5 linked regions of the Mus musculus genome follow. The protein of the gene in region 3 interacts with the protein of the main gene of each other region in a biochemical or structural test. Links are inferred from orthologs where the notes say so. Each region holds a gene or a part of one and is shown on either strand. Other genes may lie near its edges.

Region 1 (4,273 bases), on a different chromosome or scaffold from region 3:
CTGAGCCCAGAGCCTCAAACAAGTTAGGCAAACCCCGTCTCCACTAGGTTACATCCTCAGTCCCCCACCAACACAGACCCAACGAATGGGATTTTCTGTCTGTCAACAGTGCCGATTCTTCCCATCCCTACTTACTCAGATACTCAGGGATTAATTCCTCACAGTTATCCATGATAAAAACTCTGCGAACATACAACTTGATGTTGTTCTTTTTCTTTCTGTTTTCAAACAGATCAAAAGGAGCGCGTCTTGGGACAAAAAGAAGGGCCCGGAATTCTAATTGTCCTTCAACAGAAAAATGCTGCAATAAAATGAAACAACCTTTTAATGCCATGGACAAAATGAATTGGCTTTCTCTACTGGGCTAAGTTACACTTCGAAGCTTTTCTATAGGTGAGTATAGAGGTTTAAAAAGTCAACCTGAAAACCTGCTTTTAAGTCACTCACCTTTACTGCCAAGTGTTCTTCCCAATCGTTAGTTAAGCTCTTGTAGAACTCTCCATATTCCTCATTAGTGATGTCATCAGGATTTCTCGTCCAAATCGGCTTTGTTTTGTTGAGTTCTTCTTGATCAATGTACTTTTCCTTTATCTTCTTCTTTTTCTTCTTGTCACCATCCTTCTTCTCCTCCTCTTCTTCATCAGAGCCAACATCTTCTATTTCAGGTTTATCATCAGACTCCTTTTCTTCTTTTTCTTTCTCTTCCTCTTTCTCTTCCTTTTCTTCAGCCTCATCATCACTGACTTCCTTATCTCGTTCCTTCTCCACCTTGAAAGGCAAATCACTTCATTATAAATTTATACAACTAGGACAGATCTCAGAAATGTGTACAACCAAGAAGCCTCTCATCAGTAGTTTCTCTAATTTCTCCACAATCCTCTTCAGATACCACCTTTCCAAACAGGCTAATCTGTCTAGTACAACACCAGGTTCACAGAACTCTAAACAGCCTCAGTTATCTCAATTATATGAAATTTACCCTGTAGGTAACTTACAAAGAGAGTAATGGGATAGCCAATGAACTGAGAATGCTTCTTCACGATCTCCTTTATTCTCCTTTCCTCCAAATACTCTGTTTGGTCTTCTTTCAGATGCAAGATAACCTTTGTTCCACGACCCATTGGTTCACCTGGAAAAGAAAAGGGCAATGGTTACTATTCAAAGCCTCCATGCTTGCTGGAGGTTTCCTAGCAGCTAACCTTCCCCACAAATGCAAAGGTCTCCAAAGCTTTAACTTCCTTGCCCAAGATGTACAACTGAGCAAACAGCCATACATTTTTCCTATTTCCTAGCCCAGGTCCTGAAGCTCCCTTTAGATTAACAATTTTGTTGAAAAGCTCAGGACTTAGCACTAAGGCTATGTATGCCAGACTGCTCTTTAACTCTTCAACTCTCCAAGTTAACCCTCTCAAGCACTTACTGAAGTTAACCAGACACCCCCTACAATTGAATACATTCCTTTTGGCCTATGCCTACCTGTGTCAGTCCTCACTGTGAAGGATCCCCCAGCTGAGGACTCCCAGGCATACTGCTCATCGTCGTTATGCTTCGTGATGACAGTCACTTTCTCAGCAACCAAATAGGCAGAGTAAAAACCAACACCAAACTGGCCAATCATAGAGATATCTGCACCAGCCTGCAAAGCCTCCATGAAGGCTTTGGTGCCCGACTTGGCAATGGTGCCAAGGTTATTGATCAAGTCGGCCTTGGTCATTCCAATCCCGGTATCCACAATGGTCAGGGTTCGGTCCTGTTTGCTGGGAATGAGATTGATGTGCAGCTCCTTCCCCGAGTCCAGTTTACTGGGGTCCGTCAGGCTCTCGTAACGGATTTTATCCAGAGCCTATTAAGAAAAGATTAAAAATGAAAAAACCGTCAAGCGCAAACCCCAAGGTGAAATTTTCAGGGAAAGCAACGTCCAATCCTCCAAGTGGTATACTCACGTCCGATGAATTGGAGATGAGCTCCCTCAGAAAGATCTCTTTGTTCGAGTAGAAGGTATTGATGATCAAGGACATTAACTGGGCAATTTCTGCCTGAAAGGCAAAGGTCTCGACCTCCTCCTCCTCCATTGGTTGGTCTTGGGTCTGGGTTTCCTCAGGCATCTGGAACACAGAGGACGACTCTAAAGCCTCACAGAATGGCTGCAGGCGTGCTAACGACCGCCCCTCCTCTATAGAGGTCTCTTACCGACTCTATTTTGGACTAAGAAAGGGACGAAATAGAAAAGGGCGACGGGGCGGGGGGTGGATGACAAAGGGATGACCTCATTTCAGAATGCGGTAATTACGAAGCGCATGTGCGCGCCTCCGGGAGGACGTTCGGACCCGGGCGGCTCCACGCACGCCGTTCCTAACGGCCACCCTCCCCCAACCCGCCGCTATGGCGCCTCCCTCGCCCGCCCGCGCCTCGGCGGCACCGGCGACAGCCCAACCCTCGCTTCGCTCGCCCCGCGCCCGCCTCGCCGCCGCCACCGCTCCTCCTCGGCGGCCATTGCCGCATCCCCGGCCTGGGGCGTAGATATGAGGCCCGCCTGGGGCCTAGGGTCGGAAGCCATGGCCGCCCACCTCCGCGGGCTGAGGGAACTCGGATGGTGGCCCCGCTGCCGCCGCGGCGCCAGCAACCTACGGCCCTGCTCCCCAAGCCCCCGCTAAGTCCGCCTGCGCCATCACTCACCGTGGCTGAATGAACACGCACGAGACGTGACGCTCCGCACCAGGACACTGAAGCAACTGGCGCGCCGCCCCCTGCGCCGGCCTTATATAGAGGCGGGCCCGCCCAGCGCGCGGCGCTTCTTTCCAGAAGCCTCCGGAACCTTCCGGAAGAACCCTCCCCAACCGTCGCCTCGGCCGCGCGCCCGCGCCTGCGCAATGGACGGGCCCCGCCCCTCCACCTGGAGCGCGCCGAACCCGCGCGGAGAACGAACGCAAGCCCCTCCTCCACAGCCAGGTGCTCTGCACATGCGCAGTCCGGAACGCTCGGCGGGCCGGGCGCCTTCCCGGGCCGCACGCGCGCGCGCGGACGGGCCGGCCAGCGCATGCGCCTGAAGCCTCCATGTGAGCCCTGTGGTCTAAGGCTTCTTTTCCCCGGCGCTCTGTAAAAGGGACGTCCCCATGGGAACGCGCGCGTGTTGTGTGAACCTCGCGGTCCTCTGCGGCGCTTTAGGTCCTTGCAGGCAAAAGGTCCCCCTTCGGGCTCCCTTTGGGAACGCGGACCCCGCAGGAGGCGAGTCCCGCCCCCCCCCTGGCTTCCACCTTGATGGGTGGGGCGCCTCCCGGACTGGGGTTCTGGTTGCGTAGTCTGAATTTCAGGGCTGACCCCGCTGGAGTGTGTTCTGAAGCCTTACAGTGGGCTTACTGAGAGACCTTACACGGTGGGTCTTACAAATCCGTCCAGAGTGCTTGGGGATTTCTCTTTGACCAAAAGCTATGACCCTCAAATTGGGCGTTGTGAGGGATTTTGTATCAAATTTGTGCTACCTTAATTTACTGTAATTTTGGGGCTGGAAAGATGGCTCTTCCAGTAAAGGTGCTTGGGTTTGATATCTGCCACCCAGAGCGTGGGAAAAAAAGCTAGCCTTCAGCGCTGTGTCTCCCACGTGCCCATACACACACACACTCGCACAGTGTGAAAATAAGTGTAAAGGACTAGAGAGATGGCTGGGAGCAGTTAGTGGTGCCAAACACGCACGTTAAGGCAGCTCACAACCACCAGTTACTACAGTTCTTGGAAATAAACTATCCTCTCTGGCCTCCACGGGCACCAGGAACACACATGGTGCACAGGCACACGCAGTCAAAAAATGGTCATATAAAACACTCTATCCTGATTTTTGAAGCACCTTCATATGGTGTACATACGAAGTTACTTTGGGCGATTAACGTGACCCAAAAGATAGTTTCCTTGTTTGTTTATCTTTAATATAGGCTTCGGTTTCACTCCCCATACCTTTCCTTTGGGTTACTCCCACCCTGTATTTCCTATTTCCGCATCTTTTCCTGCTGACAAAACGATTACTAAGATTAGAAAGAAAAGGGCTGGAGAGATAGCTCAGTGGTTAAAAGCATGGACTGGTCTTCCAGAGGACCCAGGTTCAATTCCCAACACCCACAAGGCAGCTCACAGCTGTCCATAACTCCAATATCTGACACCTTCACACAAACATACATGTAGGCAAAACACCAATACACATAAAATAATAAATAAAAGCTTAGAAAGAAAAGAAGCCGGGAAAGAGGAAGCCAGGCAGTGGTGGCATAAGCCTTTTTAATCC
Region 2 (2,490 bases), on a different chromosome or scaffold from region 3:
CTGCAGCTCATGGGGCCGGTGGGAAAGGCGGCGAACAGAGCCGCTTCCGCTTCCGCTCGCCCAGGCGCACGCTGCGTGACGTTACAGTTCCCGCCCACCACTCTAAGCTGCCGCGGGCGACCTTAGGTTGGCTGTTAGTGGATGAGGTGTAGACTTCAAGGCGGAGGCGAGCTGTGTGAGATGTGGCTGCCACCCTGCGGTTCCACCCCGGCCCGGGTGGGGCCGCAGAGCATCCAGGACTGAATACTTTATCTGGGTTCGTTCAACGACCTGGCTTGGGGACTCATCTGCCAGACACTTCATTACCAGTCTCCTGACGGTCTTCATGCATTCTTTGTAGTTCCCTTTCATGGTCTTTTAAGGGTTGCAGTGGATTTGATGTGTGTCCCTCCCACCCACAACGGGCTTAGGAGAGTACCTCTGTAAATGTAGAGATGGGTGTTTTACCCTGAAGAAATAGCATGCCAAAGTCTTGTGTGAAACACATTTACAATACAACAGACTTTTTTTTTAAACAGTCATTTATTTAATTTCTATTTGGGCTGGGACCTAGGAATACAAAGTTAAGAATCAGATTCTAGTTCACTAGCACCGACTGTCTGGAAAAGGAAGGCAAACAAACTGACAATTTCAATACTGTATGATTGTTTCCCAGCTACATGTAGGTGCAGTGCAAAGAAGAAAGGGAAACTAACATTCATTGCTTAATTCCAAGTGTGAGACATTAGCAATGTTTATTTCCCGATTTTGAAGGCAAGTTTCAATGTCTCTGACTTTTACCCAGTAATCTTTGAAGGGTTTGCACAAATACATAGACTGCTTGGTTTGGAAGATGAGGGGCTTCGGAAGCCTTTCCTCTCCCCAAGTGCTTCCTGCAGTTTAGAAGAAAAAAGAACATGGGCTCAAAGATAATGCAGTATTTTGTGCATGTGTGTGTGTGCACATATGTGTATTTTTGAGACATGGTCTGACTATGTAGGCCTGGCTTGTCTGGAACTCTTTATATAGACCAGGATGGCCTCAAACTCAGAGACTTGCCTGGCCTCTGTCTCCTGAGTGCTGGGATTAAAGGTGTGCATCACCACACTAGCCGATAAAGATATACTTGAGAGGCAGTCAAGAAAACTTTTTGAAGTTAGTAAGGAGGTGAAAAAGATGAGAGTTAAGAGTTATAGGTTTCTGGCTTGTTTGAAAGAGGCATTATATCATAGATTAAGAGATGAAATAGTTTAGGTCTGGGCTGGAGGGAGATGAAGTAACGAGGTATCTCACATTTGAGGTATCACTCACTGTGGGTATAGATGTCAGTGATCTGTCAAGGGATGATAATAAAATGATAAGAGCAAGAAACTAAGAATGGAACAATGAACACAGCATCCCTGGAGTCAGCAGAAAAGGGGGCTGATTAGTGTGGTCAGAGGGGGGTCACTGAGGAAAAAGGATAAATGGGAAACTGATGGAAAGAACAAACACCCAGGTTCACAGAAGCTAGATGTTTGTAATGTCTGACAGTTGAAATTAAAACCTGAATGTTGCTTTGGTGTAGCTGAGAAGGGGAAAATAAAATGTAAATTTTAAAACACTTTACAAAAAAAAAAATCACTCAAGCAAAAATTTAAAGCAAAATTTGTAATGACCTATTTATTTTGTTGAGGAATTTTGCCAATGAGAACATTTCAAACATTTTAAGTTTTCAATTTTTAACTTTCCTTAGAATAGTTATATAGTTAAATAGATTGCAGCCAATGTGTTCTTTTTCTTTTTTTTTTTTAATGGTTTTTTGACAACCTGTTCTTAAATAAGAAAACCCATAAAACAAACACTGAAAAGGGTATAACTGGATAAAACATTGGGGAGACCATTGTACTTCAGTGCCGAGAGAAGAAAGACAAAACGATTAGTCAAAGGTCTCACTTCAGTGAACGGAAAAGCAAACCCGAAGAGAAATAGAGTGTACGGTCAGTGCAGAGGTGGTAAGCGTTGGGTGGACCTGCTAGTGTCAGTAATGGAAGACTGAACCTTCTTGCCCTGCTTTCACATCTCAAGCTGGAAAGAGGAAGGAGAGATGGGGTTGGGGTGAGACAAAATATGCTGGTTATAGCATCTTGTTGAGGATCTTGAAGTAGAAGTTTGGAGACCTGAGTTTGATGGCACACAGTAGGATTGAGAGTTGAGTCCTGTTCACAGCATCTGAGGGTTAGGGAGAAGCTATCTGCAGCAGGCAACAGGAGTTCAGCAGGGCTTCTATCGAGGAATAACAAGAAACTGAGCCTTCCCTTTTAGTACAGGGAACAGTTCTGCTTTCTCGTCATGGCACGAAAGGGTCAAGGGTTGAGCAGGGTCTTCAGTAGGGCTGGGAAGTTGGGTGTTCCCCAACCTGTCACAGGATCCCAGCCAGGACCAGAGCAGAAACCCTGACCCTCCACTTCTTCATTCAGACAGGACTCATGGCAGCCGTGGGTTACCTGGGAGGAGATGATGGCATCAGGT
Region 3 (3,527 bases):
CTCGAGGCCTACAAGGGCCCCTGGCTAACCCAGATGCTGAAGCATCCAGGCCCTGGTGGTAGAGTCAGGCTTTACTTCTCTGAAGAGGACCCAGAATCCAAAGGGTCTCGCACAGAGCGGAGACCAGAGAGGTTGGAATGTACTGTCAAGGGAACCCATATAGAGCTCAAGACTGTCCTGGGAGCTAGTTATCAACCCCTCCCCCACCATGGGGTCTTTCTGATCTTGAGAGAACTGGGGGCCATAATATTTTTGGCCTGTATAGGGTAGCAGGCTAACACTCCCAATCACCAACAAGAGGCTGCAACAGGGTCACCCAGCATTGCTTATTTCAAGGAGGTCCCTAGAGCCCAGACCATGAGAGCAAATGTGATAGACAGGAGTCCAAATGACCACCTTAACAAAGTACATCCTGGGTGTCTGGTCCAGAGCACGCACACGCAGCACAAAGGCCCGCCAGGTCCTGTAGATGTCATTCATACCCAGTACAGAAGACCCCATAAGGTGAGGATGTTTTGTCCGCTCATAGTTGAGCATGCTGAAGAGAGTCTTGAGACGCTGGGTGAAATGCTGGGCCTGTGCCAGGGCCATAGAGGACACATTAGAAAGGGACCTGGCAGACTGTTCCCTGACCACCCCGATTTCTCAGAATAGACTCCTATAGCTCAGCCAGAGCTCCTCTAGAGCCAGAGTCTTAGAGGATCTATCTCACTAAGTCAATTGACTGTATGTGGGGCCTTCATCCAACCTGCCTCAACCTGTTCTCATCCTCTTCCAGGGGTAGTGCCTTCTAGAACATGCCCACTGGGCTAGAGTCAGGAGATACTCTAGATGCAGGAGGATACTCCACGCTTCTCCACTCCACTACCGCACATTCCCATCCCACGTTCCAGACAAAAGACCCTGGGGCATGGTGGGCCTATAGTCCTCTCGCTATCCCATTGCCCCAGATTGAGTACCCTAGGACAAGGAAAGCCTTGAAGACCCTCGAGGCCTACAAGGGCCCCTGGCTAACCCAGATGCTGAAGCATCCAGGCCCTGGTGGTAGAGTCAGGTTACTTTGCCCCCCCCCCTGGTTACTTTGCCCCCCCCCCCCCAGCATAGAGGCCATATAGTGCCGACCCTACCTGGCAGGGTCCCTGAGGGATCTCCAGGGTTTGTGTCCCAAGCTCTCTGGGTCTTGGGACCATCTCCCATCTCTAAGCCCTTTCCACATGCTGGGTTTTTAGACTTAGGAACAACAGGTTACTTAGCCTCCCTCAGAACTTCATGAGCCCTTACTTAAGTCAGAGTATAGACTCAACCATCAGTACAGGGGCCAAGTCCGGTCACCTGCTTCCTTCTGCCCAAAGCTCTGGTACCCATGCTATAACTCATGTTCACAATGGGCCGCAGGCCGTTGGGCTTGGGGATGAAGCGCAGTCTGCAGATGGGCATGGCTAGCCAGGTGTCCTGGTGATGCCTGACCTCCTCTTGTGACAGCTCCCGTAGCCGCACTCTCTCAAGGTGTTGCCTGTTACGGAGCGCACCGTGGAGTTATGACAGGAGCATGCAGGGAGTTCATGAGACATGTCCCATCAGGGTGGTTGGGAACTTGGAGCACTTGACACCCGACCATGCTATGGGGCTACATCTAGGACCAGAACAACCCACACAACCCACACACCCCATAGACCTGTCTGGACAGGGTTCATGACACGAAGCCTGGGTCGGCACCTGGGACATCTGGTCCCGTAGTCTGTCCTTGGTGTTTCCTTCTTGGGGGTCCCATTGGCCAGGATATTTTTGAAGCAATCCGCTGACTCTTATGGATATCTTGGCTTAGACACAGGTATGAAAGCAAAAAGTGTCCCTGCCTGCCCTCAGGAAGCCCTGTGCTGGTTGCTAAGGATCCCATAAGCACAATGGGTGGGTGATATATGATCCATAGCTAAGGCTGGACCTCAAGAAAGCTAACATGGAGCTGGGTGGTGGTGGCGCACACTTTTAATCCCAGCACCCAGGAGGCAGAGGCAGGTGGCTCTCTGTGAGTTTGAAGCCAGCCTGGTCTAGGGAACTAGTTTCAGGACAGCCAGGACCACACAAAGAAACCCTGTCTTGAAAAATAAAAACAAAACAAAACAAACAAACAAACAAAAATAGAAAGTTAACATGGTAGTCTGCTCTTTGCAGGCCTTGCCTAGCTGCTCCACTGCCCTCTCAGCTTGGCCTTCTGCTGAGACAACAAAACTCTAGCTCAATCAGCACAGAACCTCAGCCACTCAGAGCCCTGCCACTTCTCAGGGTGGACCCTTGTGGTTTCCCAGTGAGGAGACACTTCCTTTCCTTCAGGGGTAGACATGAGGTGGAATCCATCAGTTCCGCTCCCGTTTGATAAAAAAGCTCTCCTACCTTAAGGATCTTATAGATGGTACAGATCCAATTTATGATTTCACAGGCAATAAAGCAGGGACTCCATTCCATGGCTACAGGGAATCTATGCCCTCAAGGTCCATGCCCAGGCTAGCAGGTGCCACACACTGTGCACCGGTGCCTCTGCGTATGCACACAGGAGACACTGATACCTGAGGGATGCTGTGTGGTACCTGACTCCAATGCTCTGCAGCTTGCTCCACACACTCTTACGGTAGAAGAAGAGCCTGTTCTTCTGGAATGTGCTCTCTGTGATGTAAAAGAATGACCTAAGCAGCTGTACCACGTATGTGTCCATCAGCCAGAACAGGAACGTAGCCAGGATCCTCTCCCTCAGACGGTGCTCTGCAGCGGGGACACGGTCCTTCCCTGAAAGTAGTAGATACTCAACATTCCGTGACTCACCTCAGATCCACAATGTCTAGCATGGAAGCCATAGGTCCCCAAATTAATAAGCTAGTTTAACCTTTGTGTGTGTGCTTTCTTTATGCTGTAAACTAAAGTTCCCTGACAAAGCCATGTCTGGATCCTGCAGGCCGACTGACTACAGATGAAATGCTGCTGACTGACAGGGAAATGTTCTTGAGGCATCCTTCATCCCCCAGTAGCAGCCTCTCACTACCAACCTCTGTATCTGATGTAGCTCCACTGTGACGAACCGGTGATCCTTGTAGGCTAGATTGACTTAGCAAACCCTAGCTTCTATCAGCTCTAAATCAAATTATATCTTCAGATAGGGGATAAGGACATGGCTCAGTTGGTAAAGTGCTTGCTGGAGGGGCATGAAAACCGAGTTCAGTTGTCAGAACCCATGTTTTAAAAGCCAGGAGTGGTGACATGTGCCTGCAGTTCCAATACTATGGAGGCAAAGACAGATGAACTCTAACTGAATCAGCAAGCTCCAGGGGATTAAAGAAGACACGGAGTGTCAACCTCAGACCTCCGCACACATACACAGGCAAACCTCAGTGGCGGCTGGTACTATACTACCGGGTCACTGACTACACACACTCATTGCTACTGAGCAGTGCAGTTCAGAGATGTCTAGAACAAAGTAGAGAACAGGCTGCTCCTACTGCCATGCTGGACATGTGAGTTCCGTGCACCATAACAGC
Region 4 (4,261 bases), on a different chromosome or scaffold from region 3:
CTGCATTCGATCCTCAGAACGAATGCAGAACGAATGCTGGTTTTAAACGGGAAGAGTGGGCTGAAGAGATGGCTCAGGGATTACAAGTCCATACTGCTCTTGCAGAGGACCCTAGTTCAGTTCCTGGCACCTGTGAGGAACAGCTCACAACCACGTATAACCCCAGCACCAGGGAAACTCGACAGGCACCAGCACTTACATGTGTACACATCCCACACAATTCCATGTCATCAAAATAAAAACCCCAGGGTGTGGTGGCATGTGCTTACAATCAATAGGAAGGGTTAGGGAAGGTACTAGCAGAGAGAGGGTGGATGAAGTGGGTAGAGGACTGAACCTTGAGCTCTGGGAGGCTGAGGATCTGCTCAAACGATACTCGGGTGTGCAGTGACTCCTCCACGGTCCGCTGCTCTGGGGGAAGCAGCTCACAAAAGCGTCTGTGGGCTCTGGCAGAGAGAGGGGAACTTATTGGTGGCCTCAAGCAGTCAGTCTCCCTGTATTTATGACATCCCCATTCTGCGGTTTGAATGCCCTATAAACCAGCTGTGAAACTAAGTCACACACCCAGGATTCCCAGTCATTGGGCAATCTTTAGCCAAAGAGGGTAATTCACAAAACAGCAGAGGCTTGGGGGGGTCCCTTCTTAGGGTGGGCAATTATAAGAACTTACCCATGTCTGCAAGACACTATCTGAAGGGACTCTGACTAGCTTGGTGAGCATGGTTCTGGCAGGCCTTGCTCACTCTGCAGGGCCCAATTCCTTCTACCTTGCTACAAACCTACATTGCTAAAGCCAGCCCCCAAAGTCTATTCCCCTATTTGGCCACTTCCTCCTCCTGAGGCCGACGACCAAGGTCCAGCTATCAAAGTATTCACGTCCAGCAATCAAAAGCCCCCTTTGGCTAAAATTAAACACCTCCTCGTAGCCCAGGGTTTCCCCTTATACCTTTATAATCTGCCATTTTCCTATGTCCATGTCTGTCTCCTCTCTATCCAGAGGCAGTCCTTTCTCCTGTAGGACAAATACTCCTTCCACCTCTCCATTGTTCCCTTCCCCTTCTTCCTGTCTTCGAACTCATGTCTTTGTTATTTCTTGCCCTCTGTCCCTCTAAGGCAATAAATCTCCTTTGTGCTAAGAACTTGGTCTGGGGGTCCTGAGCTGCGACTTTCCCTTTCAGTGTCAGGCATTCTTTGCAACAGTCCTGGCAGGAAAAAGATAACTCTAGAGACATCTGTGCCTGTCCCTTTGGCTATTGAACTACAGAAACAATGTCCCCCGAGAAATTGGAATTCCCCGGCAATCTCGTGTTGTGAGAAGGATGAATTGAAGCCTGTTGTCTACTTAGGAGAAAATGTCTACCAGGAAGAGATTTTACACAGACGGCTCTGGTAACTTGTCAGAAGATCACCTTTCATGAGACTAGAGCTGAGACAATGAAGGAGAGACTCCATCTTGCCCAGGACTGCTGCTTAATTTTACATACCCTTGCCCTTTATTTAAATATAAACCTCACATCAGCTGGACATGAAGATTGACTTAAAGATGGGGGGAGGAGCGGTCATGTCCATTCTTAGCTTTTTTTTTTTCCCAGTATGGCCACATTGGATACATTTCGTTTCTCTGCTTTTCAATATTGTCCCTTTCCTTGGCCTACTGAGGACAGGTAGCACAGCCTAGCTGGTTAGGACTGCCTGTGTGGGCCAAGTACCTGGACTCTAACATTACAGTAACAAAAACACATGTTACCTCCACTCCAGAGACTCCTCTCAGCCACCACCTCTTTCCCAGTAGAATTTCATTGTGGGGCTAGGAACCTAACTCAAGCGCTCTGGCCAGCAAATCACTTATAGTGTGCTTTATAGTCAAGTTCTCAGAACTCTCTGAACCTGATTCCTTGATCTGTAACCTCCTCCTGAAGTAATGTGTGGATCACTCAGGAGCTACTGGGCAGAGTAAGGGTTCAGTAAACGTTAACGGTTACTGAATTAAACAGGTAAAGTTGGGATTGGAGCGAGCCACGTACAAGACCTCTTGGTTTTGCCAGAGGGCAAAGTCCGCAAAGAGTCACAGCAGTTCCTTTTAGAAGCGAGCAGGAAGCTCGGCAGTGAGGAGGCTAGAGGAGCTCAAACAGTTCAACTTTTCCTGGATACACAGAAGTGTTTGCGTGGTGCAAAGGTGAGGCTCTGGAGCGGGTGGGACTTGCACTCTGAGCCTCCGACTCCAGATCCAGTGATCCTGACATCCCAGAAGCACAGCCCCACCCTCGGAGGTGAGACGTCCAATCCGTATCCCGCGAGAAAAGTACCCGCAAAGCCCTCCCCTGGCAATCCCGAGTTGGAGGACCGGGGTCAGGGCAGCACTCACAGGAGGATCTCCTGCTTGGTCAGGAACGTCAGGTCCTGAAAGGCAAATCCAGACAAGGGTCTGCAAGCCGCCCGAAAGCCACGGCCGCCCCGCCACCTGTTCCCCGAACCCCACTCCCCTGCGCGGGCTCGCACGCGAGCTCCGCGAGAACTGGCGCCCCGCGCACCTGGTACTCGGCCAGCAGCTCCTTAGACAGGCGACTGCCCGAACCTCCCATCGCCGCGGTGCGCGCACAGCTAGGCCAACTCTCCCCGGGACGCCGGCAACTTTCTCACTTCCGTCCTCGGGGCCGCGTCCCCGCCCAGTCCCCGTAGCAACCGCTGCCTGGCCTCCGCCCCCGGGCCCGCCCCTGCCTACAGTGCCCCGCCACCCTTAGCGCCGCTCAGCGGGCCGGCTCCCGGCTCCCCGCGGGCCCAGGAGAGCTGGAGGGAGGGCCCGGGGAGGAGCCGGACGCATCGGGGCGGGGCCCAGGCCTCGTGGCCCCGCCTTCTAGTGGGCGGGGCGGAACGAGCCATGCGCACGTGATGCAGACTGCGCCTGCGTCGCGGTCTTCACGCGTTTGCTGAGTTCCGGGACCCGTCTGTGCACTGAGCCTTGAGATGCATCCGCCTCACCTAAATCAAGTGCAGAAGACCCCAGCTCTGGGTGGAGGCGGGTAACCTCCATACTCGCTCCCGGGCTGGAGGAGATCCGGTGCCCCTCTGCGGATAGGGTCAGTCCTAGACTGTCTCACGGGACAAGAGCTGCAGCCTCTGCCACCGTGCCAATTCTTCCAGAAGAAGCTTAGCTTCCTCTTGAAGTGGCTCTTGAAGGTGTTTACTGGATTGTGCAGTTATCGCCCATTCGTGGAACAGTTAGCAAGGTAGGCTTCCATTTTACAAACAGGTTCAATTTCAGTGATGTGTCCGGACTCCGGTATTTAGAGGTCAGTTCTGTCCACAGGTCCCTCCTGCTGTTTTATCGTCACAGCTGGGGTGCCTCCTTTGATTCCTCCCACAAATTGCGAGCTTCCAGCTGTAGGAACCAAGATTTGCCCTTCTCTCCTCTCAAATAATAATCAGATGCAAGTATGAACATATTTACACTGTGTGAAAAAGTGAAGATTCCAAGCTTCCGGAGGAGGAAATGTGGATTTTGTGATCTGGGTGGTCAACTTGGTTGGATCTGGAGTCAAGGAGAAGGGAAACAGCTTGACACTCCTGTGAGGGATTTTCTTTTTTCTTTTTTTTTTTTTTTTTTGCTTCGTCACCTGGCACAACAGGGCCAAGTCAATTACAATTTATTTGAGAATATTTTAACTTCGTACTGGACTGGTATTCATTCCTAGAGAAGTCTGGTCCTTCATCCGGCCAGTCCAGCTAGATGTTCCATACCCTCTGGGTAGGAGACTGTAAACCTTGCTTCTCATGCTTCTTTCTCTCTGCTCCTTCTTTAGCCTCCAGGAGAGGTGCAGGCTCTACCGCAAAGCCCAGGGGCTATGGCTTGCTTTCCTGGTCCACTCAGGGTCTTACCTCATAGAAACCCCTGAGCAGAGGGATTTTCTTGATCAGTTTATTTGAAGTGCGAAAATCTACTGCGGCAGTGCGCTCAGGTGGCAACCCGTACCAAACGGAAACGGAAGATGGCTTTTGGCCTGTTTGCCTTGGCTTGCTGATAAGTCTCTATCCTGTACCTGCCACTAAGGATTTCCTTTAATGACATTAGAATCATAGTGTTCCAGCTGCCAACTCAGATTGAAGACCAACAGCTCTCTAGGAACCCAGCACCGGCTTGGGACTGCAGAGATGCATCCTTGGGGACAGCTGCCGCTGTTGATCAGCCCAGACAATACTGAGTAAACCAATTTAATAAATCCCCTCTTAGTAAATATTCATCAGTTCTGCTCCTCGAGAGCAG
Region 5 (3,966 bases), on a different chromosome or scaffold from region 3:
CCACCTCTTTAACCCTGTAGAATGACCATTTTAAAAAGACCAGGTATCTGACCTCTTCAAAATGTGCACAATGGTGCAAACCTGGTCCACACAGAAACCTCATCACAAAAAACAAAAATAAATGAGATGTGTGCACACTATATAGACCTATCTGGCCTTGATCTTATATAATCCCAATATATAATCCTATTGGGTTCACCTATAATCCCAAATAATTAGGAAGTGGAGGGAAAGAGTAGGAGTTCAAGGGGGATCCTCCCACATATTGGGAGGTTAGGCCACCTAGGGCAGCATAGACGCTTTCTCAAAAAACAATCCCTTTAAAGAAGGTAATAGGATCAGGAGTTGTACACCTTTAATCCTAGAACTCAGGGAGGCAGAGGCAGGTGTATCTCCAGCCCAAGTTCCAGGATAGCCAGAGCTACACAGGGAGAACTTGTCTCAAAAAAAAAAAAAAAAAAAAAGCTGGGCGTGGTGGTGCACGCCTTTATTCCCAGCACTCAGGGGGCAGGCGGATTTCTGAGTTCAAGGCCAGCCTGGTCTACACAGAGAAACCCTGTCTCAAAAAACCAAAAAAAAAAAAAAAACCTAAAAATCAAAACAGACAAAAACAAACAAGAGCACCCACACACACAAAGGTTGGAAAGATGGCTCAAGGGTTAAAAGCGCTGGCTGCTCTTCCAGAGGACCCAGGGTTCTAGCCCCAGCACCCACATGGTGATTCACAAACCTCTAGCTCCAGGGTATCCAACATTCTCTTCAGGCCTGGCCTCTAGCAGTGCAGATGATACACAAACATACAGACAAAACATCCACACCACACTGCTCTTGCTTCTACAAGAGCACCCAAGCAGGGTGGCTCACAACTGCCTCTAACTCCAGATTCAGAACTAACACCTCTGCTCTCAGCAGGCAGTTGGTTCTGGTAATAGAACTTGGGTTCTCAGCAAGGGTAGCCAGTGCTGTTAATCACTGCGCAGTCTCTCTACCTCCTAAATTGCTACTTCTGGATGAAAAGATGTTTCGTTTGGCTATGTTTATCTACTAAATTGATTATGTTTTACCTAGCAATTCATTTTCCCCGTACAGTTTGGAAAATATCAAAAAGTTTTTACATAAACTTGTCCTAAGAAGCCAACATGACATCAGAATACAGGTCAGTCACACACAAGAGCTTTTTCTTAACATCTCAAAGGTAAAATTTAAATCCATGCTGGTGAGATGGCTAAGCAAGTGAAGGCTCTCCGTTTCTCTACCTGACAACTTAAATTGTTTCCCCACAGACTGTCCTCTTACCTCCAGGAACACGAGGGGGTGGGGGGAGGGCACACACATGAATAAAATTACTATAATGAAACACTAAAATGTAAAACCTGCTACATATCTTTGTTTTTATGGGGGACTCCTCCAAATTTCTTTACACATTTTCTAGTACTACATGGTCTTCTTCTAGGACCTGTTTCTCAGCCACTAATTGGCTCTAGGACATCGTCTATCAATTTAGATTTTTAGCCATTCAAGCAAGCAGTTAAAACTTAAACTTGTACAATCGTTAAACTTTTTTTTTCAACTACAATCCGTAACTTTTAGTGCTGTGCATAGCAGCCACCCACACCACCCTCAAGTACTGTAATTCAATTCTCTCATATTTGAAAGTTGTCCAGGCTAGAAAAATAAGGGCAAAAATTCTTAGATTAAAAGAATCTGTAACCTCCATATAAACAAATTAAGACCTTCAGGCAAGTGAGATGGTCATTTTATACCTGTTTCACCTCCGCATACAAAGAGCATGACGAAATGCCACCCAAAGTTTATTGAGGTACAGAGAAGAAAAGAGTCCACAAGTATCTTGTGACTAGACACGTGCAGAACTACCTGCTCCATAGTAACTATTACTCGCTGCCAAGGAGGTGACCGCATTTGCTAGCGTTCACCATTTTCAAGAGACCCGAGATGTGGGAACGGGAAGTTTCGTTGTGGTGACGGCATGGCCCCCTCTAGTTGCCTAGCAGTGCCTGCCGCCGAGGGCCGCGTGGTGCCCTACCGGTAGCACCGGCTTACGGCGGCACCCACAAATGCTCTCAGCCCGGTCCTGCCGGGTCCGGGCATCAGCACCGAGCGGCAGGACTCCACGGCTCCCGGCGCCCTCATGGCGGAAAGCTCACACACGAGTTTAGGGCCTAAGGCTAAGTTCCCAGAGTTCCGAGAGAGCCAGGCTGTCTAGGGAAGAAAAGTGGGATTTCTGGCACGAGGAATCCGGGGGTCGATCTGGAGGTGGGGAAACGGACATCTGGAGGAAAAATGTCCTCCAACGGTAACAGGAACAAGGATGCAGGCCCTCCCACCCCACGGCAGGGCTGCCACCAGCGCGGGCGGGGAGAAAGGCGAAGGGCCGAGGGTGGGGGGAGGGCGAGGGGCCGTTTCCCGGCAGCCGGGGCTCCCGGCGCGGCCTCGCTCCGCTCCGGGACGACCTTCCGTCGGCGGGATGTCGCACTCACATGGTGAACGGGGCAGAGGGCCAGACAAACGGGTGGGCGGGCCTCGCTGGCGGCGGCTGGCGAGTCGACTCCTCTCCGGCGGCGACTCCGGCGGTCTCTGCCCGGTCGCGGCCTCTCCTCGCTCCTCTTAGGCGACGGCGGCGGCGGGCTCGGCCTCGATGCCCAGAATGCACCGCGCGGAGAGCGGCTCCCTCAACCCGGGAGAGAAGGAAAGTGTAGGAAAAGGGGCGCGAGGACGGAGAAGGAGCGTGCGTGCGCGCGAGGGGTGGCGAGGCCGGGCGGCGGCTGGTGACGCAGCAAAATGCCCGGGCCGGCCGCCGCGCGTGCGCAATCGCCGTTTCCAGGCTCTGCGCGGTTTTCTAGAGATCTCTACGGAAGGGGCGGGGCCTCCCGGCTCCTTCGCGATCCTTCCCGCGCCCGCCCCTCCCCTCGACCCTCCGGCTGCCCCGTTCGCGCCTGTCTTCCCGGGCTCCGGTCTCGCGTTAGCAAGCCGTTGGCCGCCAACCGCCTGAGCACGCTCGCGGGCGATCTCCCCGAGAGACGTAGGGGCCGCCCTGGAAGGCGGTGGGACGCTGCGGCGTATACAGCAGACCCCAAGGCGATGTGTGGGGATTGTTTTGTCTTAGACAGGGGTGCCTGCCGCAAACCCAGGTTGGCCTCGAGTTCAGTCGCCCGAGTCCGGGATTGCAGTCCTGTGCCAAAGCCACCACGCCCGGCAACGCCGGTTGCATCCGTGGAAAAACGGCTTCGTCCTTAAAGCCTGGACCACTCGCTGTTTTTCTGATTGTCCGGATCCCGCCTGGGCTCCTTTAGCGGAGGAGCTGCTTTTGCCTCTTTGCCTTTAGGGGCGCGCCTCTCCCCCCTGCTTGGAGACATTGGCGCCCTGGGGGAGGCGAGGAGGGAAGTTTCTAGATTAATTCGCTGTCTCCTTGCGTGAGTTCAGATGAGGTGGTTAAGGATCTATTTGAAAATCCTTTGACTGGTTTTGTATACAATGCCCTGGGTTAAATGGGGTTAGTAGCCAAGAACAATCTCTGCTTATCAAAAACTGACGGATTAGGGCAGAGGTAGACCAATGAGCCACTATTAGGACATCAGGTTTTTAGAGTAATCCTGCTTCAGTCTCTTATGTGCTGGTATTACAGGCTTTTTTCTTTTGATATTGATGTCAGTGCAGACTAATTGGTGATGTTGGCTGTATAGTCCAGATCCAATTGCCTGATGTTAAGAACTTTACCACCTGTCAGGGAAATGAAAATTAGTCTGGTGTAGTGTCACAGGCTTGTAATCTCAGCTGAAGGAGCTGGGACAACTTGGTAGTGTGGGCAACTTCCCTGTTTCAAATTTCCATTTTTTCCCGAGGTGATGTAAGTATTCTGTCAACAATTATGTATGTGTACCGTGTGTGTGCCTGATTCCCACACAGAGGTCAAAAATAGGGCCTGAGATCCTTTGAAACTAGATCATG

The links.
Region 1: the proteins of Tert (region 3) and Hsp90aa1 form a complex in vitro, tested with the Homo sapiens proteins (2 studies listed by BioGRID). The link is inferred for Mus musculus from reciprocal best matches to the Homo sapiens genes TERT and HSP90AA1.
Region 2: the proteins of Tert (region 3) and Tpp1 form a complex in vitro, tested with the Homo sapiens proteins (2 studies listed by BioGRID and IntAct). The link is inferred for Mus musculus from reciprocal best matches to the Homo sapiens genes TERT and TPP1.
Region 4: the proteins of Tert (region 3) and Cib1 form a complex in vitro, tested with the Homo sapiens proteins (2 studies listed by BioGRID). The link is inferred for Mus musculus from reciprocal best matches to the Homo sapiens genes TERT and CIB1.
Region 5: the proteins of Tert (region 3) and Ptges3 form a complex in vitro, tested with the Homo sapiens proteins (2 studies listed by BioGRID). The link is inferred for Mus musculus from reciprocal best matches to the Homo sapiens genes TERT and PTGES3.

What each region holds. Positions count from the first base shown.
Region 1 is NC_000078.6:110,693,576-110,697,848, forward strand, and holds the start of Hsp90aa1 (heat shock protein HSP 90-alpha), read right to left. Parts: upstream 2,821-4,273; 5' UTR 2,677-2,820; intron 2,106-2,676; coding exon 1,944-2,105; intron 1,844-1,943; coding exon 1,477-1,843; intron 1,130-1,476; coding exon 996-1,129; intron 769-995; coding exon 448-768; intron 302-447; coding exon 136-301; intron 1-135. UniProt on the Homo sapiens protein: Molecular chaperone that promotes the maturation, structural maintenance and proper regulation of specific target proteins involved for instance in cell cycle control and signal transduction.
Region 2 is NC_000073.6:105,744,308-105,746,797, forward strand, and holds the end of Tpp1 (tripeptidyl-peptidase 1 preproprotein), read right to left. Parts: intron 2,466-2,490; coding exon 2,325-2,465; 3' UTR 504-2,324; downstream 1-503. Other genes in the region: Taf10 (transcription initiation factor TFIID subunit 10), read right to left, coding at 1-11. UniProt on the Homo sapiens protein: Lysosomal serine protease with tripeptidyl-peptidase I activity. May act as a non-specific lysosomal peptidase which generates tripeptides from the breakdown products produced by lysosomal proteinases. Requires substrates with an unsubstituted N-terminus.
Region 3 is NC_000079.6:73,633,406-73,636,932, reverse strand, and holds part of Tert (telomerase reverse transcriptase), read right to left. Parts: intron 2,782-3,527; coding exon 2,586-2,781; intron 1,514-2,585; coding exon 1,333-1,513; intron 577-1,332; coding exon 397-576; intron 1-396. UniProt on the Homo sapiens protein: Telomerase is a ribonucleoprotein enzyme essential for the replication of chromosome termini in most eukaryotes. Active in progenitor and cancer cells. Inactive, or very low activity, in normal somatic cells.
Region 4 is NC_000073.6:80,229,979-80,234,239, forward strand, and holds the start of Cib1 (calcium and integrin-binding protein 1), read right to left. Parts: upstream 2,828-4,261; 5' UTR 2,583-2,827; coding exon 2,532-2,582; intron 2,401-2,531; coding exon 2,366-2,400; exon of another isoform or gene 2,025-2,365; intron 447-2,024; coding exon 338-446; intron 1-337. UniProt on the Homo sapiens protein: Calcium-binding protein that plays a role in the regulation of numerous cellular processes, such as cell differentiation, cell division, cell proliferation, cell migration, thrombosis, angiogenesis, cardiac hypertrophy and apoptosis.
Region 5 is NC_000076.6:128,057,819-128,061,784, reverse strand, and holds the start of Ptges3 (prostaglandin E synthase 3), read right to left. Parts: upstream 2,804-3,966; 5' UTR 2,501-2,803; coding exon 2,499-2,500; intron 1-2,498. UniProt on the Homo sapiens protein: Cytosolic prostaglandin synthase that catalyzes the oxidoreduction of prostaglandin endoperoxide H2 (PGH2) to prostaglandin E2 (PGE2).